4 linked regions of the Lepisosteus oculatus genome follow. The protein of the gene in region 4 purifies or fractionates together with the protein of the main gene of each other region. This does not show direct contact. Links are inferred from orthologs where the notes say so. Each region holds a gene or a part of one and is shown on either strand. Other genes may lie near its edges. The genes, in order: cdk19, polr2g, cdk8 and med19b.

Region 1 (7,984 bases), on a different chromosome or scaffold from region 4:
GCGACAGAATCGTGTTCGGCGCTAGTTTCACATTACATTGCTCAGGATGAAGAGAGGTGACAGATCAGAAGACATCACTCAGCCCATTTGAAAATGTGGATAAACATTACGAGTAATTAATAGATGCTGAACCCGTCTTGGGGCAGCACAGTAGTGCAGTGGTTAAAATTGCTGATTTGCAGCACTGGGGACCTGGGTTCAATTCCCAGGCTGCTATCTGCCTGTTGAGTCTATCCCAGCAAGCAACAGGCATAAGGCAGGATACACCCTGGAAGGGACGCCAATCATCTTCACTTAGTACAGGAATCGTACTTAGTTACAGTTCCTGCTGTCAAATATTTTACCCGTTCTCAATCATAGCAATGTACAATTTACATTCAGATATATGCTAACTTCAGGATTTTTTTTTTTACTACAAATATGAAAAAAAAGAAAAAGGAGCTTTATTCAACTCTAAAACCCTACAGCATTTTAACCATCATGGATTCATGTCTGCATTGTTTACATTCGAACTGTTTACTTGTCCATTGTCTGCTGTTTGTTTCTCTATTGTCTTGATGCACTGGCTGCACTTTGTGTTTTTACACTTGTTTTAACAATCGAGAGACTTTCTGTAAGTAAGAATCCCATTGTATCAGTACAGGTACCGGTTGACACTAATACCTATGTAAGACATGCAACCAGTCTTAAACAAAGCTGCAGCAAGTATCTACCTCTATAAAATAGGAATCCTGGGAGAAAAACACAGCAAGGTCAGTTTGCTCTCCGGTTCAACTCTCACTGCATTTTGCTCTCAACCCTGCTACCTGGTTTTAGACTCCCCTGTGCTTCCTTACAGGAGCCTAACTCACACCTCCTCAACAGACGCTTAAACAGCACTCAGCGATGCCTCCGGCTTGGTACTGACCGACACTATACACCAACAGATACACTTCAGGCTTCTGCACTGGCGTATGCATCTAAAGAGTGCTTGGAAAATAAGGAGAAATTTAAACCACACCATGAATTCAAACCGTTCTCTTCCCTGAGCAAGCAGGTTGGGAAGAAAAAGAAACTAACTGTAAACATAATAAACGTTTCAGACACCAGAAGAAAATATTAGGCACACACATACAGGTGCGACAGCCTTTTGTTAAGGGCAACAGTCATTTAAGCTCATTTGACCTAAACAGACGTGCCTTTTGACACCTCCTAGTGTGAACTTGGACTGAGAAGTTAGTCACTAACTGGGCCTGCATGGTCTTGGGGTGATCTAGACCTCACTGACAGGAAAGACCCATTGAGTAAACAACTGATTCAAAAGAGGTCGTGAAGAGTCCAGGGAGGAGGGCAAACCACTAGGAGGGGACAGCAGTGAAGCAGTAGGGGGTCTGATCTGTACGGACACTCTTTACATTTTCTCTTAAGACAATAAACCTTAAAACGAGAGGAATTCTGAAAAATAGCTTCCGACACGGTGCCGTGTACAAGGCAAACAGGCCGACGAAAGCTTCAACAATCGAGGTATCGGTTGAAACAAAATAAGAAAAGAACCCCGAAAGAGACGGGAATAGTTCAGGAGCTAACCGGGGCCTCGACGTGTAACGCCCCAGTTATGCACTTGACCCAAACAGTGTTTCGTACCGTCTCTTTCCGGGCGGCCTGCAGACAAAGTGTCGAAGCGGCAAACCCGGATTCAGAAACTGTGCACTGCCTGTGTCACGGTGCGGCGGCGGCAGAGTTTTGCTCACTTTCTGCCGCCCGAGACTTCACGGTGTTATTTATCCGGTTATTTTTTTTCGGCCAGCAAATGTTTATTTCGGTTATTCCAAGCAGAACCGGTACTTGATGACTGTGCACCCGTGAAACCAAATCGTGCTCCCGCTGCAACACAGTAACTCAAGTACCCGGTTGACCTCGATTTCCACGTGAATCTCAGACCGACTGAGCCAACCACTGAAATGTAACATTTACCCTGGGCTGACGAGCAACATCGCTGTGCCAAACCAACTTCCCAGTGAGGCTCCTTGATCACGTTTATTTCACATGTGTGCACCTATCGACTCGTGGGACCGCATTGAAATATGCAAGTTATGTGCCCGTCGCGCAGATAATTGCCTGACGACAGTGCTTTCAACTTCAACCGCTAGCTTAGAGGATGCACACTTGAAAACGTGGGGGGAGGGGGGGTTGAAGAAGACCATAACTTTCTAGTACATCTGTTTCCAGAAAAAAACAGCGTGACATTTCCAGCGCCGTGCACGCCTCAGCCTAACGCTACAATTCACTGATCGCCTGACCAGATTTCCAAGTTTTCAAGACGCCCCCGAGGACCTGCTCAGACCAAGGTGAATTGTTGTTCTGTAGGGGATAATTAAAGTGTGTTGTATGTCCATATTAAGCTACGTGCAATCCCCTTGACATGGAGTGACAGAAAATCAACATTTGGTGTGCATGTTACCGGGACAGGGTCCGAGCCGGAATGCATAACCCCCAGATCCAGTCGGAGAAGCCTGTGACTGTTTCAGCACCAGTCGGGGCAGCACATGCATGTAAAATGACCGGGTTTTAATCATCATAATGTCAGTTGTTTTTCTTACCCATCTTTGCGCTTGGCTTTATAAACATGCCCGTAGGTGCCTCGACCCACTTTGCAACCTTCATATTCAAACAGATCCTCCACTCTCTCCCTCTCGGCTGCAAGCTTCGTTTTGAAATCGTAATCCATTTTAACCCATAAATACTTCTTAATTTACAACAAAAATAAAATATTAATTATTAAATGTGTTAATTAAATAATCTAAGCGTTCAATTCCCCCATCATTTCCTTGTTTGGGATTTTGGTCTGCTCCGCTTAATGTTCACTGGCTCGTTGACGTTTCTGGGTGAGCGCGCTTTGCATTCTGGGGGTTGTGGTTTTCTTACCCACGGGGCCCGCGGACTACCCTAACGGAGCCCCCGCCGTCCCGAAACTACACTCCCCGCCAACCCCTTGCGGGCGGCGCGCCTGCGCAGTCGGGGTTTACAACCCCCCACAAAAATGCAGCAGCACGGGATCGGCGGCTAATGTTTCAATGTTTATCTCTACATATGTCCGTCTTCCGCGTCTAGTGGAAGGCTTGGAATGGGCGCATACGCGTATTTTAAAGGGGGTGGGTCTTCTGTCAGTGCCGCTGTGTGGCCGGTACCGTGAAAGTCGTCCTGTTTTCCCAGGCTCAGAAATGCCCCGCGATTATCTAATCGCGTGCGGATGCCGCCCCCCCAGTTTGTTATAAAACACCGTGACTTGGTTACTTCTGCGGAGAGGTCACCCCAAGAGCAGAAATCGCAATTGTGGGTTTTTTTTTTAAAAAAAACAAGAAAGAAGTCGGTGCTCCCGTTTCTTAGCCGGGCGTATAATAGTCGTGTGCATTTCACGTTAGATGTGTGTTCTGAATGGGACTGGTGACCCTTTGCCTTTTAATTCTGTGCATGTGGTAGTCTGTCGTAACATTACTCACAGTAGTACCTGCCCAAGAGGCACCGCACATCTAATTGGTCCAGAGCGTTGCACGTTAACATCTTGTCGGTGAAACACGTGTACTTGCGGGGAAGCCTATGGATGCAAAGATCTCACATGTACTCAGAACTGAACACCCCCCGATCTCGAGTTTCCGCGCTGCAGCGCGGCGGACTGTCGTTATGGTTTTCAATCCTTTGCCGTTTGTTTTCTCGAACTGGGGTCTGGGCCGGGGGCGGAAGTTCCGATCGGCGTGTGGCTGGTGAAAGCAGCAGTGACAGCAGATGTTTGAACTTACTGAGAACTGCTTGAAAACTTAAGGTCATGTTTTATAATTCAGCCGTTACACGTACAACGCGTATATTCCAATAGTCCATGAATTTAATTAATAACCTGGCTGCAGGACGCAAATCATTGTAAATTATAGTTTTAATGTGTATGGAGAACATCTCTGTTACTGTTTTTTTCTTGAGTTTTTTAGTACAGGTTAAATTCCTACAAATGCACCGTCATTCAGTGGTACTTATATACAGCTTTTCTCGTTTTCTAAACATCTGACGCCGTTTCCCAGACTCTATTTTGTTTGAAAACATCTCAATCTCTCAGTAACGTGCAGTATATCGTATTTTGTGTCAACAGCACGCCATGGCTTATAAAATTATCTGATAACACCAATTCATGGCCGCTCATTTTCAACAAAACATTTGCATTATAAACTCCAAAGTAACTGGAGTGTCATTGTGCTCTTCTATGTAAAGTGGTTTATCAGAAATTTTGCATATAACGTATAATATCTAACATATAACTTATAATGTCTCACCATATGGGATATAACATAACAGTGATTAAAAAGGTGCACGTGATGAGTCCAGTAGCTGGAACTACTGAAATAAATGCTGTTTTTACAATTCCTCGTATGTACGAACTGGAGATTTACAGTACAATCCATCCAGCAAATTCGAACGCTCTCCAGCGGCGTTTTCCAGAGAAAAGTTAATGGTCACAAAAAATAAGGCTGTGTTTCACACGTCGAATGAGATGTTATAGAACAAAACAAAACAGAGTGCAGACTTATGCGTGAAGACCAACTTGAAGATGAACCCCGCCAGACTTAATAACAATTTGAAAACAAAACCCCAACATACCTTTGCACCTACCTACCGAGGAAAAGGTTACTTTAATGGGCTAGGGTGCAATGCGTATCCCACCCGATTGCGTTGCATTCGCCCCAAGACCTAATAAGCAGATCTTGCACAAACCTTATGTCACTTTTGTGTCAAACGCTCGCAATAGGCCAGGCTTCCTCCTGAAAGCACACACTCAAACAGGCGGGGTATTAGGAACCTCTCAGCTGCCCCTCGCGTGTGCAAGGTAACTGTAGGCCGAGGCGGGCCCCTGTCGGGAGTTATTGGCACGGCGGGCAGCCAATGGGCGCGCCGCCCATGGGCTCGGAGGCGCCCGATTGGCCGCGGCCCGCTTGTGACGTCGCCAGGGAGGTAATAAAAGCACCGGGCGAGCGGCGCTCGCGGCTCTACACAGTATGGCCGGCGACATTAGCTAGCGCTCGCTAAACGGTATTCTCTGTCAAAGGGAAGACGGCAAAAAATCAAGCAAACGACACCTGGACTGCTTAAAAAAAACAACACAAGACTGAATTAACCATTTCATTAAGTTATCCGAACCTCGCCAGGATTAACGCAAATCTGAAAAATTACAGCCACCAAACCCCCCCACCACCACCACCCCGACGTGTAATTTGTAATTTCTGTTGTCGGTGTCTGTTGTCTCACGATGGAAGAGAACGGTGCACACTTCTTCGAGGGGACGGAGAAGCTGCTGGAGGTGTGGTTCTCCCGGCAGGACGAGAGCAAGGGGACAGGAGACCTCCGCAACATCCCCAGGTTGGTGCGGCCGGGCGGTCCCTCTCACGGCAGCCTTTGCCCTGCGCTCGGTTGTGCTCTTTTTAATCGCACCCCCCTCCTTGCAAAACGCGATCCCCTAAAAAAAAAAAACGGGGCCGATTGAGTCTTTTTTTTTTCATTTGTGGTGCGTGTGCGTATGTACGTGGGGAGACAGCGGGCGATCCGTTTTGCGTGGCGCCTTGAAGCCTCGCTGCCCCGGGTGCGTGTCGTGGGTCGGGTGTCGTGTCCGCGTCGCGGCGGCGGCCAGGGGAGAGCCGTGTGCTGCTGGCTCTGCACCGAGACCATCCCCCCCTTCTCACCCCCCCCCTCCCTCCCACGGCCCGAGCCTGTCCCCCGCTCGTCCTGCGGGGCTCGGCCGCTGCGGGTCGCCCGGGCTCGCCTTCCCCGGGGGGGTGGAGCCGGGCTCCCTCGCAGGGAGAGAGCCGGCGAAGGGGTCTCCAGCGATGCGTGTGCGTGCATGCGTGGGGGATCGCGGGTGGGTTTTCTGTGCGCAGTCACCGGTGCCCGCTGGTGATTTACTGCCACTGCAGGCCCGCTGCTCCCTCCCTCCCCCAGTTGGAGGGGGGGGGCGAGAGAGTGGTCTGGGCTGTGACAGACGGCGGTGCCACGGGAAAGAAAAGTGGCGAGTCAGGGGTGGGGGGAGAGAACGCACGGGCTTCACACGTGGGGGCAGTCGAGTGAATGCAATTGGGCGCACGGGCAAAACGTGGCTCCCCCCACGGGCTGCGTGGAGCCGACTGTCGGCGGATCCATCCCTTGTCGGAGGGGGCCCGGGAATGCGGCCGGGCCGGTCCCCCCCCGTGGCGGAGCGGTGCTTGCGGCCGCGGTGACTTACCTCCCCGCTCCCGGGGGCAGTCCTGCGGGCGCGATCGGGCCGCCCCTCTCCGCTCCGCCGGGTGCGCCCTTCAATCATCGCGGGCGGCTCTGAAAGGCACACCCCCACCCACCCCACCCCCTCCGTGTGCAAGAGGGCGGGTCGCGACAGACGCTTCCACGCGAGGGGGCACATGGCTCGCCCCGAGCACGCTTCGGGGGGGGCGAGAAAAGAGTTTGCTTTAGATTTGTGTGTTTTTTTTTCTTTTCTCTCTGGTCTCCTCGCACTCTCGGCTAGTGGCGAGCAGCAGGTGGTTCTCGGACTGACAGTGTGTTATTTTATAGCGTATTTTGCAGAGGACTCTAAAGCACTTTGCATACAGGAGGGGCCCAGTCCAGCCACCCTCAGGGGATGGGTGTAGTAGAAGAGCCGTCTAAGGAAATCCAGTCTTTGATTTCAGGAGTGCAGCCTCCAGGCAGCGAAAGGGTGAGCGTTAATCCCATACCCAGCCCGCCAGGCTCTGCTCGGCGTTTCTGTGAGCACCAGGGGGGTTGCACAGGGGGTCGCCCGGACCCGTCGCCAGGCTGGGCACTGGCGCCTCACCAGCTGGTCTTCTCCCTTTCCAGTGTGTCTTCAGAGCCAGAAAAGGGCCTTTAAAGTAGGGTGCAAAACCCGAGTGTTTTTCTGCTCGCCTGTTGTGCAGTGCAGTGCAGGCCTCCTGTTTGTCATGAGTGTTTGTCACCGGCGCGCTGAGGCCCGAGCGATCCGCGACTGTGCCGGTCTGCAGCCGGCCTCCCCTGCTCATTGGCTCCTCCGGTTCCTGAAATGCCACCGTGTTATTTATAGCCTCTGTGGAGGCTGGAATGAGGAAACGGCCCGAGTGTCCCTGGCCTTTTTTAGCTCTCCGTGGTTTACCCTGCAGTGCTCTCAAGGAAGGCTAGTGGCGTAACATGCGCTAGTGTGCAGTCAGGGGCGAACGTGTACAGCACAGACCTGAACAAAGTTAGACAGCACAGTGGAAGGAGTTATAAGGGAGGTGAGTCTGCTTCCTCCCTTTTAACGCTGTATTGGAAGCTCTTCCATTACCGTTGAAACTGTTAACGTTTCTGCTGCACTGAAGAATTTAGACATTTGACCTTGTTGAACCCCAGTATAAGCTTGATTGGAATTGCACATATATTCATGCGTCTTGAGAACATCTGCCGCTGCTTCGGCATTTTTTCTCCTTCACACAAACTGAACAAATCCAGCTTTCTGGATGATGGATAGAAGTGGTTTTTTTCTTCAGAATAAAATAGGCATCCCCCTACAGTATAAAAAACCCTTAGGACTTATGTGGATTTCTGCATGAATGGCTACTAAAATGTGATCTAATCTACATCTCAGTCAGAATAAATAAAGCCAGTCTTATTTGACAAACACACATTTTACATTGCCATCTCTTTATTGAACAAATGGTTTAAACAATCAAGGTCATTGATGGAAAAAGTATGTGAACCCTTATATTAAGTAATGAGGGGAACCTTCTTTATTGGCAGTAACCTCAACCCAACACTTTCTGTAGCTGCTGATCAGACCTGCACAGCGGTTGGGAGGTATTTTGGCTCCTTCCTCTACACAAAACTGTTCCACTTCATGTATATTTCCGCGATGAGTGCTTGAACGGCCTGCTTCAGATCACGCCACAGCAGCTCGGTGAGATTGAGGTCAGGACTCTGACTTGGCCTTTCTGAAATCCGGAACGTCTTCTGCTGGAGCCACTCTGTTGTT
Region 2 (7,534 bases), on a different chromosome or scaffold from region 4:
CACTCCAGCAAGAACCTGCTGAGTCACCTGCAGGGGCAGGGGCAGCCAGAGAACGCAGCTCTCTCGGCCCGCAGTCTGGGGAGAGCTGCACCCCCAGACTGGTTCGTGCTCCGGAACCGTGACACCCTGACCCCCCCCCCCCGCAGGGGCCGCAGAGTTGGGGCGCAGCTTCTCGTGGGGGTGCTGCGCTGTCGGGGTTCGTGTGGGGGAGGTGGGGGTTGATGCCAGACACTTATAAAAATAGATCTCTTCTCTTCTCCAGTTTCCTCTGCAGCAGGATCAGCTGACCAGGCCTGGAGAGAGACGGAGAGAGAGCGATCATTCCTTCATTCAAGCAACAGTGAGGTTCATCTTTAAAGGCCAAAACACTCCTGTTACACTGGGGGCTCCAGTCCAGTAGGACAGTCTGTTACACTGGGGGCTCCAGTCCAGTAGGACAGTCTGTTACACTGGGGCTCCAGTCCAGTAGGACAGTCCTGGTACACTGGGGGCTCCAGTCCAATAGGACAGTCCTGGTACACTGGGGGCTCCAGTCCAATAGGACAGTCCTGGTACACTGGGGGCTCCAGTCCAATAGGACAGTCCTGGTACACTAGGGGCTCCAGTCCAATAGGACAGTCCTGGTACACTGGGGGCTCCAGTCCAGTAGGACAGTCCTGGTACACTGGGGGCTCCAGTCCAGTAGGACAGTCTGTTACACTGGGGCTCCAGTCCAGTAGGACAGTCTGTTACACTGGGGGCTCCAGTCCAGTAGGACAGTCTGTTACACTGGGGGCTCCAGTCCAGTAGGACAGTCCTGGTACACTGGGGGCTCCAGTCCCGGTCCAGTAGGACAGTCCTGTTACACTGGGGGCTCCGGTCCAGTAGGACAGTCCTGTTACACTGGGGGCTCCAGTTCAGTAGGACAGTCTGGTACACTGGGGGCTGCAATCCCAGTCCAGTGACACTAGGGGGCGACAGTGACAGACAGCACACAATGCTGCAACACTAGTGGCTGGAATGACTGACTGAAGGACTCACCCAGATAATCATCCATCAGGGATCCAATTGCAAACTGAAAGAGAAAAACAACATGAGGGAGGGAGTTACCGGGAGCACGAGAGATGGGGGGGAGGGGTGAGAGAGAGAGAGAGACACTCACGATGTCGTTCTTGTCCACTCTCGTCCCCACAATCTTCAGCCGGATCTCGTCGTCCTGCTGGATCACGATGTCCTGCACGGGACAGACAGACAGACCGACCAGCGGCGGGGAGTCAGAAGCTCTGCAATAGCGGGCAGCGAGAGAGAGGGGGGGGCGGCGCCTCTCCTTGTTAAACCCAAGCCCAGACTCACCTCGTCCACCGTCTTGTAGCAGGGAGGGTTGGAGTTCGGGTCGAATTCCATCTCTGAAGGAATGGACTGTGAACACAAGAGCAACAGTTACCGTCCTGCAGCGCCGGAGGGAGAGCTGGGACAGACTTCCAAGTCGCAGCAGAGAGGGAAACAGGAAGCAGGGCCGAGCATCGGGACTAGAGAGGAAGAGGGGTCCGGTACTCACGTGACGAGAGATGAAACACGACATTGGTCCAATTTCTGTGAACAGCCCCACCTAGGAGATGGAGAGACGGGTTGTCAGGAGGCCGTCAGGAGGGTAGAAAAGAGGACAGAGAGAGAGAGACAGGCCATTAGGACGATTGAAGAGAGCAGAGAGAGAGAGACAGGCCATTAGGACGATTGAAGAGAGCAGAGAGAGAGAGACAGGCCATTAGGACGATTGAAGAAAGGGGAGAGAGACAGGCCATTAGGACGATTGAAGAGAGCAGAGAGAGAGAGACAGGTGATTAGGAAGGTAGGAAAGGAGAGATGGATGAGAAGGGGAGAGAGAGACAGGCCATCAGGAGGTCTCCATGCTCTGTCCTGACCTTGTTGACCTGAGTGACCACAGCATCCACCACCTCTCCCTTGAAGGGTCGGAACACGATGGCCTTGTACTTGACCGGGTACAGCACGAAGCCCCTGCCAGGCTGGATCACGCCGGCGCCGATGTTGTCGATGGTGGTCACAGCGATCACAAAGCCATACCTGCCACAGAGACAGAGAGAGGGGGCCGTCAGCACCTGCGCCGCAGGGAAGACCTGGAGCGGAGCGGAGCGGACTGCAGCGATCCCGCTCACTCACTTGCCCGTGCAGGTGCCCTCCACCTCCGTGAACAGCTTCTGCTTCACCGTGTTCAGCAGGTTGGGGCCGAAGTACCGGGGGTGGAGCAGGATCTCGTGTTCCAGGGAGATCTGGGAGGGAGGCAGGCGTTACAGAGCGGGAGACCAGGGCACCTGCCCACTTTTTAAAAATAATTGTTGCACGGCTCTTCCACAAGACGGTCAAACAAGGACGCGACATCACCTCAGCAGGTGCTGGAGGAGGCAGTGATTAATCCTCTAAACCTCTGGTGTGAGGTGCGCCAGCTGCACCATGTGACCAGCGCTTAGCAAGTTCCTTGTATTTACACCGCACTTTCCCCAGGAGTCTCCCCAGACAGGAGAGACCCAATTCACCGCCAGCTGGGAGACACATAGCGGATCAGGAGGATAGAGAAACTCATAAGCAGGTTCGGTGAAATGAAGCATTCCCATTTCTATTTCTAAAAATAAAACCTTTCACATTGAAACGTTTGTCGACAGGCAAGAATGGAGACGCGTTCACTTGCGCACACTTAAATATGTTTATTTCTGTCAGTCCTGCTATAAAATATTCCGGCAAAGACGAACTTTGCACTTTAAAAATGAAATATGAATATTCTTGCGTTTCTGAGCCCAGCGTTCTCCCCCAGTCAGAGCCGCCAGGCTACGTGACCGCGGAAATTAACGATTCAGCTACTTACGTGATAAAACATCGTGTCCCACTTCCACAAGGAGAACCCCTTTAAACCCAATTTAATTACACAAATACGAATATAAATAAAGCAACAACGCTACAACACGAATGAAGCGCCGACGCTCACTCCGCCTTTCCGTTTCCGTCTCAGCATTTCTACGTCATCCGAGGGGGCGGTGCTAACACTGGAGTCCTGGAGCGCTTTCACGTTAGTCTACATAGAGGGCCCATCTAGGGAAATATGTTATGCCTTATTTCTTCAGTTTATGTATTACCCACAAACGACTAAAGCCGTAAAACGTAGAGCATTATCAAGGCTCATGTGAGCAAGTATAATTAACGCGTCAGATGGGTAGAACTGTAGGCGTCTGAGGCTGACCTGAGCCCTCTGTCCACAGGCCTGGCTCTCAGGTCAGGCAGTGAGAGGGTGGGTTCCGTCACCGACCCCAGGGCCACCCCAGCCTCCACCGTTCCTGTTCACTCTCCACAGCCACACCGTCTTTCCGAGTACTGAAGGCAACTTTATTTAAAAAAGGCTTTACATGGCTTTGATAGGTGTGTGCATACAAGAACCATCATATACACATATCATTTGGCAACAGAAAATATAAAAATAATTTAAGAAGGATGCAAGGCAAAATAAGATCAGCGAGGACGCTGCTATATTCTTGTAGAGGCTTCATTATGGCTTTGATCCACTACCCAGGCAGAAGCATTCACACCGTAAAATAATCCTAAACCCATTCCTAAAAAAATAAAAATCAACATCGAACAAAGCTCTCACTTCAAACACGCTGCGGTACGAACATCTACAGCTGCAGCTCACTCAGCATTTCAGAACAGATTAGATCAAAATCAACCCCCCCACCCAGGCAATTTCTTTTATTACTGAAACCCTCCCCCATGCCCACCTCCCTCAAGGTGGAGAGAGAACAGCGCAGCCCGACCCGACCCGACCCGACCCGAGCCAGTCCAGGGCCTCGTCTGCGAGGGAGGACTGGTCCAGTCAGAGGGAGCCTGGGACACACACACTGACTATCCATCCTTAGGACCTCGTGGCCCAAAGAGTGTGTGTCCCAGACTCCCTCTGACAGAAGCTCCACACACACGGCTATCAAGCGCGCCCCCTGGTGTCCACTCTCGCTGACAAGGACTCCAGCGTCTCTCCTCCGTTTCAACTTCAGGCTTTGGCTGTGTGGCTTTGGCAGCGCAGGAAGCTGCTGCAAGCAGACGAGCGACGGTGCCCCCCCTGCCCCCCAGCTGGGCGGGGCTATGCGCTTTCCCGTGCTCCGCAGAGGTGGGCGGGCTCCGAGGAGAGGGGCTGAGCGAAGCCGGAGTCCCAGTCCCTCTCGAACACGGCCTGCAGGTCACTCTGGACGCTGCGCTTGCCTGCCCCGGCTGGAGCCCCCGTCTGGTTCACCACCAGCCCCACGCCCGCCGTGTGGGTGAAGTAATTCTCCGACCAGTTGGATGTCCCTACGCGAGGGGGGTAGGGGGGAGAGAACGGGGCACCGTCAGTGTGGTACAAGGCTGAGCGTGACGAAATGAAAAGTTGAGAGGCTGGCCTGCAGGGGGGGGAGGGGGGGGCAAGGCTAAGAAAGGGCAGGGCTGTGATAGGGCCAGCCTACGGGGGGGAGGGGTTAAGTGAGGCTTGGCTCAGGGCAGGGCTGTGATAGGCCAGTCAGCCTCAGGGTGGGGCGGGGCTCAGCGAGGCAAGGCACTGCTTACCTATGTACGCGACTCTGTCCGTCACCATGTACTTAGCGTGGTTCACCCTGGCGTAGGGGATCATCTTCTGCTCCTCGGTGGAGGGCACCTCGAACACTTTCTACAGAGACAGAGGACAGGACGAGCACGGTGAGGCCCCGGCCGGGGAGGGGGAAGACCGCTCGGACAGCGGGAGAGAGAGAGAGAGAGAGAGAGAGAGAGAGAGAGAGAGAGAGAGAGAGAGAGAGAGAGAGAGAGAGAGAGAGAGAGAGAGAGGACTGACCACGTGCAGCCGGCAGCTCAGGGGCGGGTGGTTCGGCACGCCGAGCGACTCCAGGAAGACGAACATGGGCTGGTCGGAGTGCGGCCAGCAGCTGACCAGCAGCCGCACCTCCACGCCACGCGCGCACGCCGCCGCCCGCAGCGCTGAGTCGATGGGCGGCCAGAACTGGGCCGGCTCAGTGTACTGGGAGGCCGGCAGGAAGTCCATGACCGAGACGTAGACGAAGCGGCGGGCGTCCGAGATCACGCCCAGGATGGCCGAGAGGTCGTCCGTGCGGCCGTCCGCGGACAGCGGCGGGGGAGCGCTCTGCGGGGGAGTGGGCGGGCAGAGAGTCAGGAGCAGCATGCACACAAATTCAGTCACGCACGAGCGCTGTCCGACGGCCGGCCCTCACCGACAGGTAGACCTGCGCCGGGAGCCCGTTCAGCTGCAGCTGCAGGGGGCGCTGTGCGCTGGACAGAGCGCTGAGGCGGCGGGGCCAGCGCGCGGGCACTGCGCCCCCTGCTGGAGAGCCCAGGAGCCAGTACGCCTGGAACAGCCGGGACACGTCTCTGGCCAGGCAGCTGCAGTTCGTCACCGAGACGGCCAGCTCCTTCACCTGCGGGAGAGCAGACGGCCAGTTACAGAGCCGGTCTCCTGCAGGGGGGCGGGCAGGCCATGAGCCGGAAGGGAGGCACCTGTGTGAGGGAGCGCCAGTCCATGTTGGCACTGCCCAGGTAGGCGTGCTGGCCGTCCACCTCCCAGAGCTTGGTGTGCAGGATCCCCCCGGTCAGGTTCTGCAGGTAGACCGGGCGCACCTCCGCGCCTGCGCACACAGAGAGGGAGAGGGAGGGACAGGGATCAGACTCGCGCAGCCTTCCCCCAGGGGCTGTGAGCAGGCTTGGGGGTGGGGTGCGGGGTGCGGCCTCCTACCTGCGAGCGCAAGGTCGTCCGTGTCCCTGGGGTACGTCTGGGGGCTGTTGACGGCGATCCTGAGGCCCACCCCTCGAGCTGGCAGGCCCCTCAGAGCCTCGAACACACGCTTCCCCTGCGCCGCACACACACAAGGGACAGCTCATTAACCTTCTGCCCACATGACTAGTGCAGCTGAAAGTCTTTCTTTCTCTCCAGTGCTCCGAGCGTCCGAGCCCTCTCCCTGCCTGCCCTCCAGCGCTCCGAGCCCTCTCCCTGACTCACCTCCAGTGCTCCGAGCCCTCTCCCTGCCTGCCCTCCAGCGCTCCGAGCCCTCTCCCTGACTCACCTCCAGTGCTCCGAGCCCTCTCCCTGCCTGCCCTCCAGCGCTCCGAGCCCTCTCCCTGACTCACCTCCAGTGCTCCGAGCCCTCTCCCTGACTCCCCTCCAGTGCTCCGAGCCCTCTCCCTGACTCCCCTCCAGTGCTCCGAGCCCTCTCCCTGACTCACCTCCAGTGCTCCGAGCCCTCTCCCTGCCTGCCCTCCAGTGCTCCGAGCCCTCTCCCTGACTCCCCTCCAGTGCTCCGAGCCCTCTCCCTGCCTGCCCTCCAGTGCTCCGAGCCCTCTCCCTTCTCCCCTCCAGTGCTCCAAGCCCTCTCCCTGACTCACCTCCAGTGCGCTGGGCTCGGAGGCCTCCAGGTCGGTGTCCCTCAGTGTGAGGTAGAAGGCTGCGATGCTGACGCTGTGGTTGGCTCTGTGCAGCAGGTCTCTCCAGGCCTGGGAGATGGGGGTCAGGCGGGGGGAGCCAGGGGGGTACTCCAGCCCCTCAGGGAGGCTCTCCAGCAGGGACAGGCTGCACCAGGAGGGACAGAGACTGACACGTTCCAATCTGCTGATTTCAGTATCAGCGGCAGCACGATCTTCGATATTTTTAACGGATTTACAATTATACTGCGTACAACGGCGACTGGGACTCTGTGGCCTTCCAGATAAATGCCATATCAGGTCATTAGCACAGTAGCACAGACTTTCCACACACGCAGCAAGAGTCACCCAATTCTCTGACAGCACCCAGGTCTGGATCCGCAGAGAAACAAGGGCCACAGGCACGTCTTCACACAGAGAGTGGTGGGGGTGGGGAGCAAGCAGGATCCCTGGGATGTGGAGGCAGCGCCCGCGCGTCCCTACCTGCAGTCGGAGCCGCAGGCCTCCTGCCGTGCCCACAGGTCCCCGGCCCACAGCCAGTCCAGGTCCAGCGGCGCCAGCAGGGCGCCGGCCAGCCCCGGCCTCCCAGAGGGCCACAGGAACAGGCCGCCCCCCCCCAGCAGGAGCAGCAGGGGGGGGAGGAGGCAGAGCAGGGTGGAGCAGTAGCGCCGCAGCTGCAGGGAGGGAGAGAGCAGGCCGGTCAGCCCCTGCTGAGAACCAGTCTGCTGCAGGGAGGGAGAGAGCAGGCCGGTCAGCAGCTGGGCTGGTCCTCTCCCGCCCAGCCGAGAGCCCGCGGCCTTCAGCAGAGCTACAGCTATTCCAGGTAAAGGATCTAGTTGCCCATTTGGACAGCTTCAAAGATTGCTCAAAGGGGAAAGCAACCCCAGCCCCGCCCTGGCCTGAGGGAGGTCAAGCACACAGCTCGGCGGTCCCCGAGTGGCCGAGGAATCAGAACACCCACAGGAGCACTCACCCTGCCTCGGGGCCCGGGCCGGCCCGCTCCCTCCTGCCTCGCCTCCCTCCCTCCGGCCGCTCGTCTGCCTCTGGGATTGAGGGCGGGTTTCTCGCTCCGGGCTCCCACCTCAAAGACCACCGCCTC
Region 3 (7,923 bases), on a different chromosome or scaffold from region 4:
CTTCTGGGACAGGGATTCTCCCATGCAAAAGGCCTTTAATGGACATGGAGAAGGTGTGAGATATCTGGCTGCTGAGGCTAACCACAGCGAGCAGCTGACATGCTGCGCATTGCGCGAGAGTCTCCTCGTGTTCTTCCACTGAGCAGCCCGGGGTGGCTCCACAGAGCTGCTGAAAGCAGCTGCTCGTGCTGTGGCTGGACTTTTGCAGGACAGACCATCTCAGCCCTGCAGCTTCAGACGCGTCTGGACTCTGCGGAGGCACTGGAACTACGAATAAACCAACTAACAGCACCGGCATCATGAACACAACACCTCGGGCAGTCTGGGCCGCGTCTCACAGCACGTGGCTCACAGAGACAAAGACCTAAAAGCAGCATCTTTTTCTGGGAGGGTCACTTGTAAAAGAGCGTGTTGATCAATTGGATTGCGAGGCGTGTTTCTTTTATTAAAACTCCCGCTGCCGCAATCTGGTCAGCTCGCAAAAAAGAAAGTGACATCGCGCTCGTTTCTGCAGGCCTCTTTCAGAGACGGCAACAGCAACACTTTCTCAAGCAGGAAAACCCCCAGGAACTGAGAAGGACCCTTCTCGTTTAAGGGATCGCCGCAGTGCGGCGCGTTCTCGTTATAGTGTCTGCAGACCAGCAGGGTTTGGCACTGTGCTGTCAAGAGGAGGCTCAGATACATCATAAAATCTCAACAGCACACACCCAGCGAAAAGAGACAGGCTGTCCAACCGCTGGTCCAACAACCACTTTTGCACCACACACACACACACACACACACACACACACACACACACCCTTTCCTGCTTGGGGGGGTGTAACACAGCTCTTCTGCCACAAAGAGCTGATGCACACACAGAGACGTGCCATCAACCGAGTCAGCCAGGGCTTTTATCCAAAGGGGTTTAATCAGTAGACACACACGAAGCAGGGCATGTGACTGAAGCATCTCGTGGAAAGGTACAACAGCACTGTCCCACCCGAGATGTGAACCCGCATGAGAGTGGTGGACCCACAGCTTCCAGTGAGGAGTCCAGAGCCCTGCCCGCCGCTCCACACTGTAAGATTCCCCTGCGTTTTGGTGCTGGGAGTTCGGGGCGGACAACTGCAGGAGATGACCCATATTCGAGTGCCTTCTGTCCCGACAGTCAGAGCTGACACGCATCAACACCAGGCTGGATGTCACTGCTCATTAGCGGCGCGGCTTCACTCGAGAGGGGGATGAATGACCCCTTCCATCCGCCAACTTAAATGCAGTTTTTGTTTTGGTCCCTTCTTCTTAATTGAGGACAGGACATTAAACTCATCCCCCCTGCCTGTGGTCCCCCCCCATCTTGCCTGGCAGTGACCCTGACTTGTTGGGGAGGAGAGCCGTGTATTGTGCCCCCAAGAGATACTGGGACCAAGCCTGGCTTCTGTCTGTGGACAGGCAAGTCCAGAACCGCAGTTCAAACTCTTTTCTAAGGTGCCAAAACACAGGAGTGGTGGCTACCGCGTGCCCTCCATTGCTCACACACAGTGCGTGTGTCACGTGTGCACTCAGAGAAAGAAGGACGCTCACACCGATACAGCCAGTGGCAGAGAAGCACCTGTGCACTCTTGGGACTATTAATAAATTCCTGTTGAAAAGGACAGCAACCCGGGGTCAGCTTTCACGTCTCTCCAGGCAGCTGAAGGATGTCCTTCACCTTGAGCTCCAGGGGCAAGCGGAACTTCTTCTTCGTCTCATGTAACTGCTATATATATATTAAAAAAAAAAAACTGAACCGCCCCTCAAGATGTATGGAGCATCTCTTGCGAGTTGCTATTCGGGTTGATGCGAGCGATTTAAAGCAGTGACCGCAGACTTCGACGCGCAGAGCTGTCCGCAGGAAGACACAGCTCCGACAAACGCAGAACCCTCCGAGAAATGTCGGTTTGTTTGCAAGTGCCTCGTGTTCGCGTTTATTGCAAAAGGGGGGCGAATAAAAGTGAATAACACCATCGTCGTGGAGACTCGGAAGAGGAAAGAAAACCTGAAATTCACCCCCCCTCCCCCCCATAAACGAGAGGTTACTCTGATATGGGAACGTCGCTCTTCGGCAAATCGGTTTCCCGAATCCCACCATCCCAAGCTGAGGATTTACAACGTAAACACCTCCTCGACAATGTATTTTTTCAGGACGTTTTCTGCAAACGGGCTCGGTCTATTACGGGGGACGCCGCCACTGTAGTTCTAATCAGAAAACAGTGCAACAGCCAGGCGGTGCAAATTCGTAACACCAGTTAAGAAGAGCAACGATTTAGCAAAAACAGCAGCACACGGCACCTATCCAGTTATCTTTGGTTGGCACGGACTGGGGGGGGTTTGGTGTGACAGTCCGGGCAGCTTTGTCCCTCTCCAGTTAAAGAGACAAAAACAGCCACATCTCATGGAGCTGGTACTGTGTTACTGAGCATGTCTCTTTTCTATTCGGGTTGCGTTATCCAGCAGGACGACAACAACAACAACAACAACAACACCACCGTCTCTGGGATCTCAAACAATAGAGGCAACACCACCACCACCACCAACAACAGCAACACAACTAAAATGAACCAAAGAGCCGCGAAGAAAGTGTGCGCTTTATTTTCACCCGGGGCCAGCCCGGCAGGCCTGCCGACTCACCCATCTTTCCTCTTCGCCTTGTACACATGTCCGTAAGTGCCCCTTCCAACTTTGCAGCCCTCGTATTCAAACAGGTCCTCGACTCGCTCTCTCTCCCCAGTCAGCTTCACTTTGAAATCATAGTCCATTTTCCTCGCCTTTTTTTTCCCCCAAGCGCCGCCTGGGAAGCAGCCCCTCTCTTCGCACCTGGGCTCTACGTATCTATCGATCTTCCCCCCCCCCCCTAGCGCTGCCCCCTCGCCGGGCCGAGATGCGGCATGTACCGGCTGTGCGTGTGGCGGAGAGATGCACGATTTTCTGCAGCGTCTGGGCTCCTGCTGCACCGACACCGACACCGACACCGCTTCTGCTTGCTTCCCTCTCTCTCTCTCTCTCTCGCTTTCTGCAGCTGCGCCTCTCTGCCGGTATCTGCTCGCAGGAGCTGGGCATCAGCGCACGGCAATGTCGCAAAGCGTCGCCAAGCCAGGCTTTAAAATAAAGGACCGTCTGGAAAGGGAGACGTGCGCTTCTGTGCGGCGCACCACGTGGATTTTAACCCCCCGGCCCTTCCGCAGCGAAACCGTCGCTGTTGTCAAGAGGAGCTCCGCTGCGTGGACCAGCGGCAGAGGAAACGTGTGTTTTCCGACCTTCGTAAATCACGTTATCGCGCCGGGCGTTTAAAAAACACGCGCTAAGCCAACTCTTCGGGTTTCTTTTGTTTTTTGGGCTGTCTTTTTCCACAGTTGTGAAGTAACCAGACTGGGTTTAGACTGAACGTCACGAAACCTAAATTTTTATTTTTTGGGGGGGGTATATTTTAACGTCAGAGCAACAAAAACAAACAAAAAAAGGAGATTGGCCGTTTTGTAAACAGATATTGCAGTGTATATATATGTACAAAGATGAGCTCCGAAACTCTAGAGCTCCCTCTACTGGAATTTCGCTTGAGTGACCATGCTAGACGTGAAGAGCATCAGGTTTTGTTCCGGCAACGTTCAGTAAGAAAAAAAGGTCGAATCTCATGTTAATATCCAGTTATAGACGATTGCGAGGACAGTCGTTTACAGACATGAGACTTCTTTTTTTCCCCAGTTCTGCCAGTTGTCACCAGATGCTCTGCCAGATGTCTTTTCCCCCAGCTCTCGCGGGGCGTGTGTGGCACTGGTGTGTGAGACATTTAAGGGTGTCGTCGGGGTCCTGGAGTATTGGAGACGCGCCCAAGTCACGATAGTGGTTGCCCTGCGTGTCTTGCGTGAAAGTCGTGCAAGGAGCGAAGAACTTCGCTGTATAATAAAGTTTAAAGATCCCATGTTGCTCTTCTGAAGAGTAAGGTCTTTAAATCGGTAATCGAGGCTAAATTCCTGGATTTAACCTTAACTTCCCCCTTCAGTTCAACTGAAGAAGCGGTTTCTCAGTCCTCCTCCGCCTCGCCGATCTGCTGTGCAGTGGGGTTCCTGGTCCAGAATGGCCACATGCTCGGTCACACAAGCTGCCCTTCAGTGGTGACTAAGGGGAGACCCCTCCTGTCTGTAAAGCAATTTTGGATGGAGGGGGGTATATAAATTAAGGACTCTTTGTTGGACCTCCATTATTATACTACACTTAAACATCAATGGCCGTGGTACACATACAAGAGGCATCTGTACTTTCAAGTATGCAAACATCAATACATTCCAGGCCTAGAATGGAGCAGGGCAAACTAACCTTAAAACACAAGGTACAAAATGGAAAACACAAATGATGCACTGACATGATTTGCCACTTGTGGCTGTTTCTCCAGGAAAAGACGCTGGGTCACAAGGACATTTCCCACAGAAGTTTGATACAGGCTTTTAACTGGGTGGGGGGAAAAAAAACGCACCATCTGCAGGAACTGGTTAGCATCGCAGCGCAGGGGTCCAGGGTTCAATCCCTGGGGTGCTGTCTGCATGGAGTGTGTATGTTCTCCCACGGTCCAAAGACACGCTGGTGGGCTAGTTGGCTTCTGGGAAGATCGGCCCTGGAGTGTCGGTGTGCTCTGTGACGGACTGCGGTCCCATGCAGTGTGTATCCCACCTTGACCCCAGCTCACTTGTGACCCTGTACTGTTAAAAGGGGTTAGAAAATGGATGGATGGATGTTATACGAATAGAAAGGAACAGGTAATGCGCGTATTCCATGCTGAAAAGAGAAGAAAGAAAACACAACGTTTCGGCCGTGGGGCCTTCTTCAGGTGTCTTTTGTATGACTTGCAGATTCCGCCATGGTATTTACCAGTAAATGCTGTGCGAATCGGAAAACGGTGCAGTATCGTGTTCCAATAGGGAATACGCTACATAGATAGATACTTTATTGATCCCGTGAGGGAAATTGCAGTGCAACAGCAGCTTATAATAATAATAATAATAATAAAAATAAACTTTATTTTATATAGCGCCTTTAAAGGTGGCTTCTCAAAGCGCTTTACAGGATGACAATAACAATAAATAAGAAGACTACAACAATAAATAAAGCTTAACACAGACAACACAGCCACAGTGTAACAAATAATATAATAATAGTACAATACATACAATACAATACAAGAGTTACTCACAGTCTGGACACACAAAGAACAGACTAGAACAGAAGGGGGGGGAGGGGGCGACACTGGTATTCAAGAGTATGGAGATAAATCGAAAGGTTTACTTTTAAATCCATGACACGATTTTAATTGAGGCGTTAAAGGAACATATGTACAAAACGTGAGTCTAAAAAAGAAAGCCTAGTGTACTGTACATGTCTCCTGGAGGGGGGGGTGCAATGTATCTCGTCGCTTGTTGCAGGTAGGACTGTATTGGGTGCTGCACTGGTGTTCCCATCTTACACTGTATCCCGGACAGCAGGGGAAGGGAAGAGGACCCGTCCATATTTCAGCTGAGGGTTTCAGGTACTGAAGTGTGCCCGAGCTGTCTTGTCACGGCAGCGGTTCTCCTTGTACGTGTGCCGTCTTCCCTGGACGGAGCGTCTGCTCTCTTTGCGGTGCCATTTTGTGTATCGCGAGCACTGAAACGGTCTACACGGCGGTGGTGAGGCAACGCAATCTCACTGTATAGGTTACGCGTTTGTTTGCATGGACACGCACGTCCGCAAGACAGAACAGCACCGGCGGCGGGGCTGGGGTTTTTTTCAAAGGGAATCCGAGGCGTATTTTGCGGGGATTTCGGGAGACCGACGCTGTCTTTTGTGTCTTCTTCGCGATGAAATATCCGGGGCCCGACTCTCATTTTTTTTTTGTTTTCTGTTTGTCCCGCCTCCCCGCTCAGCTGTTTGGGCGTTTCGTCTGTCAATATACGGGTCTGGGCCCACTGATTGGTAGGGAGCCCTGTAAGGCTTGTAGTATTTGTATCTAGGGTTAGTGTATTTTTTACGAAGGCCCATCTTCGCTCTGTATAAACCATTTTATGCACTGATTTTACATTTCACTTCATGATACTGTGTTTGGCTTCTATTTTTGTTTAACCTTAAATTTTAGAGTGGGCGCCTAATCGCGCGTTGCTACGGAGAGCACGTATCTTCCGTGTACTCTTAAAAAAATGAGAAAGCAGCTTTCTGCACCAGGTTGTTTTTAATTGAAAATTTTTTTAGACTGTTCCTTCCATTTGCTGGCTCTGCTGGGGAGATAAAAAAACATATTTTCGTCGCAGAGCCTTTTAGACAAATGCAGAGATCATGCCTAACAGATGTTTATTTCTGTGTACCAACAGCTCCGCAGTGAAACTTTGTTGGAGTTTAAGATGGTATATGTGATAAGGAATTATATTCTGGTCTCAGTGGTTGATACGGTCATTTTTCATTGGGATAGACGTTTCTGGATAGTGACTGAGACATGAACAGCCCCGTGTGAATGGACTGTGTTTTTGTTATCCTAACAGATACACTCCCAGTTTATGCTACTGGAGACAGCACTTTTTCTTGGTTATTTCAAGGTTGTTTCCTCGTAGTGCATAAACGGGCATAAGGATTCAGATGAAGCAAACGTCATTTTAAAGGTGTAAGTTGTAATGAATCATAAAAGCAACACAAGTACAGTCAGTAATATTTCCAGTGGATCCAAACATAGCGAGAGTCTGACAGCTTACAGCTTATAGCCCTCACAGCAGCTGTACTGAAAACTGAAATCTGCACAATACTCTGCATATTGTTTTGCTAGGAGTTTTTGTCCAATTTGAGCAGCCAGCCCCACCTGCTTTCTGCCCACAGAGTGCACCAAGGGCTTGAGCTGTGTCATGTTGCAGTCCTGGAGGTACAGGACTCCCGGTTTCGATTCTTCAGGCCCACAGGGTATTCAGAGCCTGTACGCTGCTGACTGCTGACACTGCTGTCATGTTTCATGTCGCCAGACTATTGCTTTCTGACAGATGCCAGGCAATTTGAGGTTTTCCTCATGCGGTGCTTTGTGGATTTATTTCCCCCCATTACTGCTTTTGTCAAAATGTTGTGCGGCAGTGATAACGGTTTTCTCATTATATACGTGCAGCGGGAGACTGTGGACAGGCCGTCTGCGGGCCGGATATGATGTTCTCGGGTTCCAGGTTTCGAATGAATTTGAACGAATGGATGCAAAGTTAAAAGTTAATAGTGCAGAGGAAAGCCCCGAAACCCTGCTGTTTGTTTCGCTCGCCAGCCTCACGGAGTGTGTTCTCCCGGTAAACTCCCCCCCCCTCCTCCTTCAGGCAGCCGGAGCGGTTTCCGTGGCGATGGACCCTCCCAGCCCTGCGGCGCCCGGCGGGCGGGACGAGCGGCGGCGGCAGGAGGAGAGGCTGCGCCGCGAGGAGGCGTACTACCAGTTCATCGACGGGCTGAGCGAGGACGAGTACCGCCTCATGAGGGACAGCAACCTCCTGGGCACGCCAGGTACGCGGGTCCCCCTGCCTGGCCCGGTGACACTGCCCCCTGCTGGGCGGGGGTTTGAGGCTGCGCTTGCTGGGAGATCAGATGAGGTCGCTTCACTGGCCCGATACAGTTTCTTGCATTAGGAGTTCGTCTTTTCGCAGACCCCAGCTTGCTCTCCTTGAGACACACAGACAGGGAGAGAGAAGCTCAGGATTGGAGCGCAGGGTCGGCCGTTTATATGGCGCAGCCCTGGAGCGCTCGGGGTGAAGGGCCGTGCTCGGGGGCCCCTATGGAGTAGATAGATAGATGAGACTTTATTGATCCCGTAGGGAAATTGATGTGTTACAGCAGTCCAGCCCAGGACAAGCAAAACAGACATCAGAATAGTTATAAAACAAAAGACAAACAAGATAAATAAAAATAAATACATAGGTGTGTGCA
Region 4 (7,819 bases):
ACTAGACGAAACAGCACAAAGAACAACATGTAGCAGAGTTAGTGTTGGTAGGTCTCCCATCATCAACATCTTTGCTGGATTAATGCCAACAACCACAATACTGTATATGCTATAATAGTAGGCGCTGTGAGCAGCATAATCAACTCGGAAGTGGAAGGTTGAGGGTTCGAATCCCAAGTGAGACGCTGTTGAGCCAGGTGCTTCACCTGAACTGCTCCAGTAAGATACACAGCAGTAAAATGGCGGCAAATAGAAGTCTCTTAGCATAAAAAACATAAGCCATATATATTACTTAGTAATAATTCCTGGAGTGATTATTCACAGCGTACAGGTCCACTGACTTGCTCCAGTTTAATAAGGATTATTGAACTGCAGTTCCCCCACCCTGCCTGTACAGAGTGAGGGGACGCTCTAGAGTATTAGAACCGGCAGTACCTACAGTAGCTATCTGACTGACCTATGCACAAAGTGAGGTACAGCAAGCCCATCCTGATGTCCAGTCTGAAGAACAGGATGACGTTGGCCACCTTACTGAACAGGAAGATGTTCCCCACGTGCTGCTCCACAGTGACTGGAGAAGAGAAAGGGTTTTAAACACAGTTAACAGGTTTAACTGCAAGTGTATAGCATATTATACCTACACACATTATACACTATATACCACGTGTATGCCCCTGCTGACACTGAATGAATGTGTATTTCAAGTGTGTGCACAGCCCAAATGTAAGAACACAGGCATTCAAAACAATTATTAGGAGGCCATGACTAGTAAGGGCCAGGGGAAAATCTGGCCAGGACGCCGGGGTAACACCCCTACTCTTTTCAAGAAACACCCCGCGGTTTTTAATGACCACAGAGAGTCAGAACCTCCGTTTTACTTCTCATCCTCTGCACTAAATGTGTATAAAGACCAGTAGTCAGGACATTGGGGTTAATGCCCCTACTCTCACTGACAGTGTCCTGGGTCTGTAATGACCAGCAGTCAGGACACCGGGGTAACACCCCTACTCTTTTCAGTCAGGACACTGGGGTCAACATCTGAATGACAGCATGTCCTACAGCATAGTGCTCCTGTTCCCCATTCTGAGGCTTGGCTTGAAAACTCTGGTCTAGAGGGAAGGGCGCCACCTACCGGTTGCCCACTGGCCATCAGTACATTATTTGGGGTTTGCATGCATCAGGACAGGGGTGTCAGACTCACTTCCTTGAGGGCCTGATGCCTTCTGGTTTTCCTACCAACCAGATAGGATGTTCCTTAAGCTGAATAATCAGCTTTTAAACAATACACTTCATTAAAGGGACAGTTCATTACAAACACCTCAGAGCCAGGCTCCACATGTTACACTTCAGCAGTTTGTGAAAGAATCAGACCCACTGCGCGCCTGAGCGCTCAGGCTGCTAGAAAGCCGGACGCGCCCGGAGCCGAGACGAGCGCCCCTGTGCGACTGGAGTGTCTTACTGGCTCTCCGGTTCTTCATCATCACGATGGCACTGAGGAACATGAGGATCTCCACTTCCCTCTGGGGGTAGAGCACACAGCACGTCAGGGCGACAGGGACAGCACACTGACACGCACCAGCCCACAGCAGCCATTGCTACCACTACCAATCGCAACACAACCAACACCCAACAGACTGCTCAGAGGGGTACGGCACACGGCACACTCTCCCACAGCACCCCACACTCACCCACGGCACCTCACATTCTCCCACTGCTCCCCACACTCTCCCACACCCACCCACGGCACCTCACATTCTCCCACTGCTCCCCACACTCCCTCCCACCCCCACCTGCACCCTCCCGCAGCTCCTCACCCTACATCACCCCAGGCCAGTGGCCGCCCTCAGCCCCCTCTCCCCCTGTGTGTACAGTAAACACATCAGGGCCAACGGACACACCAGCTGCCTGCTGCCCCAGTGCTGTGTGCAAAACAGTACAGGGGTCTCCAGCCCTGGGCCTTGAGAGATCCTGTCCAGTTAGTCCAGGGGTCCCGAGCACTGGGCCTTGAGAGATCCTGTCCAGTTAGTCCAGGGGTCCCGAGCACTGGGCCTTGAGAGATCCTGTCCAGTTAGTCCAGGGGTCCCAAGCACTGGGCCTTGAGAGATCCTGTCCAGTTAGTACAGGGGTCCCGAGCACTGGTCCTGGAGAGATCCTGTCCAGTTAGTCCAGGGGTCCCGAGCACTGGGCCTGGAGAGATCCTGTCCAGTTAGTACAGGGGTCCCGAGCACTGGTCCTGGAGAGATCCTGTCCAGTTAGTACAGGGGTCCCGAGCACTGGTCCTGGAGAGATCCTGTCCAGTTAGTCCAGGGGTCCCGAGCACTGGGCCTGGAGAGATCCTGTCCAGTTAGTACAGGGGTCCCGAGCACTGGGCCTGGAGAGACCCGGTCCAGTTGGTACAGGGTTCCCACCCCTGGCCCTGGACAGACCCGGTCCAGTTAGTTCAGGGTCCCCAGCCCTGGTTCTCCTCGTCCTCTCCAACACTCTCCCTGTCCTAACAGTCCCCTCGCCCTCTGTCTCCCCACTTGCCCTATGACCAACACCTGAGCTCACTGGCGAGTGTCTCTCTCTACCAGCCGGTCAGTCGCGGAGGTACCGGCCTGCTCTAAAATCACAACCCTGGACTCACCCAGTCGAAATCGCAGGAGTTGCCGTCCTCTCTGGTGGTAGACAAGTGCTCACAGATCCCCGGCGTCTTTCGCACCAGCAAGAAAATCACCGACAAAAACACTGACGCCACATAATACGGCTTGAGCAGCCACTTGTACACCCGGGGAAGGTGATACAGAAACGCCAGGAGGGGAGTAAGTAACGCCATTTTTATAACTCTCAAACAAGAGTGCCACTATATATATGCGGCGGATTGCTGGTGCAGACGAACATGCACACAGAGGTCTGTCCGCCGACAAATAATAACAGTCTGCGGTCGCAGGGAAGATTTAAAGGGGAAGTGAAGAGAGGTCACTGCGGACAAACAACAGACATAAAGCCACGCCTCTTGCGTAATCGGATTGGTTAGCTGTGGAGACATCTTGGATATTATTGGATATTACAGCTGTCACTCTTCTTTGCAAAGGGATAGGACTTTTTCGGTTGATCGGGCATTGTGACATACACTGTAAGGCCCTTGTAAAAGGGAAGTTTTTGAATGAGCTTTATTGATACGTAAAATTAGCCTTTTATTGTACCGTAAAGATGAGAAACTGTACGCCTCTAAATTTGGTGTCGGCTGTTAACATAAACAGTCAAATGAACACAAAAGCTTAAACCTAAATAAACAATTCTATACACTTATATACGAGTATTATTAGTGTCCAGAAAAGCGCTATATAATAATGCGCATTATAATAATAATGTATGATTATTGTTATTATATAGCACTTTTCTGGACACTCCACTCAGAGCTCTTTACGGGTAATGAGGATCCCTACCAGCACCAGTGTGCAGCCCCACCTAGATGATGCTCCAGTCTGCTCACACACACCAGCTCTCAGTGTGGAGGAGAGCAGAGTGATGAAGCCAGTTCAGAGATGGGGATTATAAGGAGGCCATGACTGATAAAGGCCAAGGGGAAATCTGGCCAGGACACCGGGGTAACACCCCTACTCTTTTTGAGTTTTTGTGATGACCACAGAGAGTCAGGACCTGAAGGACACCGCCTTTTTACAGTGTAGTGACCCCGCCATTATACTGGGGCATTAGAACCCACACAGACTGCAGGGTGAGCGCCCCCTGCTGGCCCCACTAACACCTCTTCCAGCAGCAACCTTAGGTTTCCCAGGAGTCTCCCCTCCAGGTACTGACCAGGCTCACACCTGCTGAGCTCCAGGGGGCTCCAGGGGGCTGCCAGCTGGGAGCCGCAGGTGCTGGTGTTTTGACACATAGTCAAAATACATGGTTTGACACCTACTGTCAAAATACCAAATAAGAAGTGTTATACACAAAAATACCAAAGAAATTACTGTAAAAAACAAAAGGCGATTCAGACATGACCGCAGCTCTGTGCTGAGACAGAGAAAGGGAAAGTGGCTGAGTCCCTGAGGGAGCACTGCGGTTCGGGCAGCAATGGAGGAGAACGAGGAGAAGGAACAGCTGAGTGACCAGCAGGACAGGAGATGGGTGGGTGGGCAGTAGGACAAAACCTTCACAAATCAATTCTGTTTGTGTGACACCTGTGACCCTTTCCACAAAGTGGTGAGAGTGTCAAACAACAGTCTAGCTGTTGAAGCCGATACAGTAACGTCTTGCAAGACACAGCTGGATGTAATCCTCCAGTTAGGAGAGGAGACGCTCCTTTACACAAAGGGTGGTGGGAGTGTGGAGCAAGCACCCCAGCCGCGTTGTTGTTGAAGCCAGTGCAGTGACAGCACTGGAGGAGATCCTCCAATCAGGACGGGAGCTTCTTCTTTACACAAAGGGGGGTGGGAGTTAAGAAACAGCTGGATGAGATCCTTGGATCAGTTGTCCACCTAGTGCCAAACAGGATAGACGGGGCAGATGGACTACTCTCAGCTGTTTAAGAATATTACATTTCTCCATAATGGATAATAGTGAAGAATACAGGTACTTAAGTGGAAGAACAACGCCATTAATAATATTCGCCTGCTCACTGATGTGACACTGAATTTAGACCGGTGATTCCTAAATGCTAATTAATTATACAGTATTTAAATAAAAACGAGAATGCGTCACTAAACGTCTGCACCATTGTAATTGCGTCTGGTGTGCAAATTTGATCTGAATCATGCAACAGCGGTTCACTGCTTCATTTTGAGTCTCCTATATATGAAGAAAGACGGTAGCGCCCAGTTTGCTTTGTCGTACGGAAGCTCACGGATTCAGAGCAAAACAACGCGAAGCACGGTGCGGTGGTTTGGTAGTATTTGTGTTAAAATTGCCAAGATTTATTTATTTTTTTTATTTCTTAAAATTAACATTTTTCTGCATCGATGACGGAAATTTTCTCTTTGTTTGGACAAAGCGACTCTCAAGGTCCCCCCGGCTCCTCGACGCTGGGCTACGGGCCGGGTAAACAGCCGGGGCCGCCACCCCAGAATCAGGTGTCCATGGCGGTACAGATGCCACCACAGCTCGGGGATGAGGGGCCTCCTCTTCGGAAGCCCGCAGCGATGAATGAGCCTTTTTATTTACTTCGGGAACTTCCAGGTAAACAGACTGCGCTCGCCCACATAGTCATCTTCGATAAGACTTTGCGTTATAGACGAGGAAGTAAAATATTCAGTATCATTCAATAGTTTCTTTTTTAAGTCGGTAAAAGTATTCAGAGATGTATTGTACAGGGCACAGCAGTGCAGAGCTTGAGAGGATGAATATAGTGTCCGAACTGTGCTTGAAACTAAATACGTCTCGTTGCTGTTCCGTTTCAGTTGTAACTTTGTGTGCTATTGTCCTGTAAGTTAGTGTATTAATCCCTCTCTCAGTGCACTGTTAATGTACTATAGTGTTCAGTCAGTGTGTCTGCACTGTATTAACCCCTCTCTCTCAGTGCAGTGTTAATGTACTGGAGTGTCCAGTCAGTGTGTCTGGACTGTATTAACCCCTCTCTCTCAGTGCAGTGTTAATGTCCTGGAGTGTCCAGTCAGTGTGTCTGGACTGTATTAACCCCTCTCTCTCAGTGCAGTGTTAATGTCCTGTAGTGTCCAGTCAGTGTGTCTGGACTGTATTGACCCCTCTCTCTCAGTGCAGTGTTAATGTCCTGTAGTGTCCAGTCAGTGTGTCTGGACTGTATTAACCCCTCTCTCTCAGTGCAGTGTTCATGTCCTGTAGTGTCCAGTCAGTGTGTCTGGACTGTATTAACCCCTCTCTCTCAGTGCAGTGTTAATGTCCTGTAGTGTCCAGTCAGTGTGTCTGGACTGTATTAACCCCTCTCTCTCAGTGCAGTGTTCATGTCCTGTAGTGTCCAGTCAGTGTGTCTGGACTGTATTAACCCCTCTCTCTCAGTGCAGTGTTAATGTCCTGTAGTGTCCAGTCAGTGTGTCTGTACTGTATTAACCCATCTCTCTCAGTGCAGTGTTAATGTCCTGTAGTGTCCAGTCAGTGGGTCTGGACTGTATTAACCCCTCTCTCTCAGTGCAGTGTTAATGTCCTGTAGTGTCCAGTCAGTGGGTCTGGACTGTATTAACCCCTCTCTCTCAGTGCAGTGTTAATGTCCTGTAGTGTCCAGTCAGTGGGTCTGGACTGTATTAACCCCTCTCTCTCAGTGCAGTGTTAATGTCCTGTAGTGTCCAGTCAGTGTGTCTGGACTGTATTAACCCCTCTCTCTCAGTGCAGTGTTAATGTACTGTAGTGTCCAGTCAGTGTGTCTGGACTGTATTAACCCCTCTCTCTCAGTGCAGTGTTAATGTCCTGTAGTGTCCAGTCAGTGTGTCTGGACTGTATTAACCCCTCTCTCTCAGTGCAGTGTTCATGTACTGTAGTGTGCAGTCAGGCAGTGTTCCTGTAGTTTCTAATACAGCTATTATCTTTTGCCCTTCTTTCAGTGGGGAATGAACTGACTGGGAACACTAACCTGATCACCCATTATAACCTGGAGCACGCCTACAACAAGTTCTGTGGGAAGAAGTTGAAGGAGAAGCTCAGCAATTTCCTGCCTGAGTTGCCTGGTAAGACGTGGCTGGGGTTACATCACTCTTGCTGTCTTGCCTGTCCTTTCCTCTGTCTCTCTGCTCTCGGTTCAGGCCGAGAGACTCTCCGGACGTCACCATGTGCACAGCATCCTCCCTCAGTCATGGCAGAAAACTGGAGTATTTCAGTACATGTAGGCGAAGAGAGGCGTATTACAGATGAGTAATTATGTCCTATTTATTACTATTGTCATGGGTAAAATCCACTAGTTTTGCCTTTTAAATTGAGGTTACACAGTGGAAAACCCCACGGTGCTGTTCTGGACGCCTCGTCCCCTGCTGGCTGAAGAGCCCCTGATTTTGGAAATGTTTCTTTCCCGTCGTGCTTCCTTGAAACCGCATTACAACGTCTTCCCAGCCCTGGAGAGACATCTTGACAACTTCAGTGTGAGAAAGAACAAGCGCTGCAATTAAATCTGCTGACTGGCAGGAGCAATCTGTCCAGTTTTGGATAATAATGATTCCTGACACTTAAACAGCGCTGTTATGGACACTTGGTTCAAAGCGCTTTATAGATAATGAGGATCCCCTCCACCACCACCAGTCTGCTCACCACACACCAGCTCTCAGTGGGGGGGAGAGCAGAGTGATGAAGCCAGTTCAGAGATGGGGATTATTAGGAGGCCATGATGGGTAAAGGCCAGGGGGAAATTTGGCCAGGACACTGGGTAACACCCCTACTCTTTTCAAGAAACACCCTGGGACATTTAATGACCACAGAGAGTCAGGACCTCGGTTTTACATCTCACCCGAAGGACAGCGCCTGTTTACAATCTAGCGTCCCCGTCACTATACTGGGGCATGAGGACCCACACAGACTGCAGGGTGAGCGCCCCCTGCTGGCCCCACTAACACCTCTTCCAGCAGCAGCCTTAGCTTTCCCAGGAGTCTCCCCTCCAGGTACTGACCAGGCTCCCTACTGCTGGGCTCCAGGGGGCTGCCAGCTGGAAGCTGCAGGGTGATATGGCTGCTGTCCATTATACTGTGTGCCCTCCCTGTGCGGTCAGATATCCGTCTCTTGTATGGCATGCCGGAGGAGGCAGGTGTCTGAGCTTTCCAAGAGACTGGTCCGCCAAGCGCATTGAGCGCCAGAGGGTACCAGTCTGAGGGGATCTGATGCTGCAGGATGAGGGCCGGGATGTTTCAGGTGTCAGGAGAGGCTGACACCCCTCTCTCTC

What was found.
Region 1: the proteins of med19b (region 4) and cdk19 purify together in Homo sapiens (affinity purification with mass spectrometry; 7 studies listed by BioGRID and IntAct, counting the BioPlex papers as one, with this or other methods). This does not show direct contact. The link is inferred for Lepisosteus oculatus from reciprocal best matches to the Homo sapiens genes MED19 and CDK19.
Region 2: the proteins of med19b (region 4) and polr2g purify together in Homo sapiens (affinity purification with mass spectrometry; 3 studies listed by BioGRID and IntAct, with this or other methods). This does not show direct contact. The link is inferred for Lepisosteus oculatus from reciprocal best matches to the Homo sapiens genes MED19 and POLR2G.
Region 3: the proteins of med19b (region 4) and cdk8 purify together in Homo sapiens (affinity purification with mass spectrometry; 8 studies listed by BioGRID and IntAct, counting the BioPlex papers as one, with this or other methods). This does not show direct contact. The link is inferred for Lepisosteus oculatus from reciprocal best matches to the Homo sapiens genes MED19 and CDK8.

What each region holds. Positions count from the first base shown.
Region 1 is NC_090697.1:5,170,488-5,178,471, forward strand, and holds the start of cdk19 (cyclin-dependent kinase 19), read right to left. Parts: upstream 3,011-7,984; 5' UTR 2,708-3,010; coding exon 2,580-2,707; intron 1,960-2,579; exon of another isoform or gene 1,731-1,959; intron 1-1,730. Other genes in the region: amd1 (S-adenosylmethionine decarboxylase proenzyme), read left to right, coding at 5,270-5,379.
Region 2 is NC_090713.1:22,714,156-22,721,689, reverse strand, and holds the start of polr2g (DNA-directed RNA polymerase II subunit RPB7), read right to left. Parts: upstream 3,013-7,534; 5' UTR 2,870-3,012; coding exon 2,858-2,869; intron 2,268-2,857; coding exon 2,158-2,267; intron 2,062-2,157; coding exon 1,902-2,061; intron 1,589-1,901; coding exon 1,538-1,588; intron 1,399-1,537; coding exon 1,333-1,398; intron 1,214-1,332; coding exon 1,142-1,213; intron 1,055-1,141; coding exon 1,021-1,054; intron 294-1,020; coding exon 280-293; 3' UTR 1-279. Other genes in the region: pld7 (5'-3' exonuclease PLD4), read right to left, coding at 4,121-4,326, 4,579-4,678, 4,841-5,146, 5,235-5,438, 5,518-5,645, 5,753-5,867, 6,400-6,583, 6,919-7,160 and 1 more. UniProt on the Homo sapiens protein: Core component of RNA polymerase II (Pol II), a DNA-dependent RNA polymerase which synthesizes mRNA precursors and many functional non-coding RNAs using the four ribonucleoside triphosphates as substrates.
Region 3 is NC_090700.1:5,395,252-5,403,174, reverse strand, and holds the start of cdk8 (cyclin-dependent kinase 8), read right to left. Parts: upstream 3,004-7,923; 5' UTR 2,778-3,003; coding exon 2,650-2,777; intron 1-2,649. Other genes in the region: E3 ubiquitin-protein ligase RNF6, read left to right, coding at 3,091-3,261, 7,323-7,503.
Region 4 is NC_090701.1:41,770,528-41,778,346, reverse strand, and holds the start of med19b (mediator of RNA polymerase II transcription subunit 19-B), read left to right. Parts: upstream 1-4,815; 5' UTR 4,816-4,946; coding exon 4,947-5,163; intron 5,164-6,497; coding exon 6,498-6,620; intron 6,621-7,819. Other genes in the region: tmx2b (thioredoxin-related transmembrane protein 2-B), read right to left, coding at 1-1, 458-571, 1,460-1,520, 2,627-2,815. UniProt on the Homo sapiens protein: Component of the Mediator complex, a coactivator involved in the regulated transcription of nearly all RNA polymerase II-dependent genes.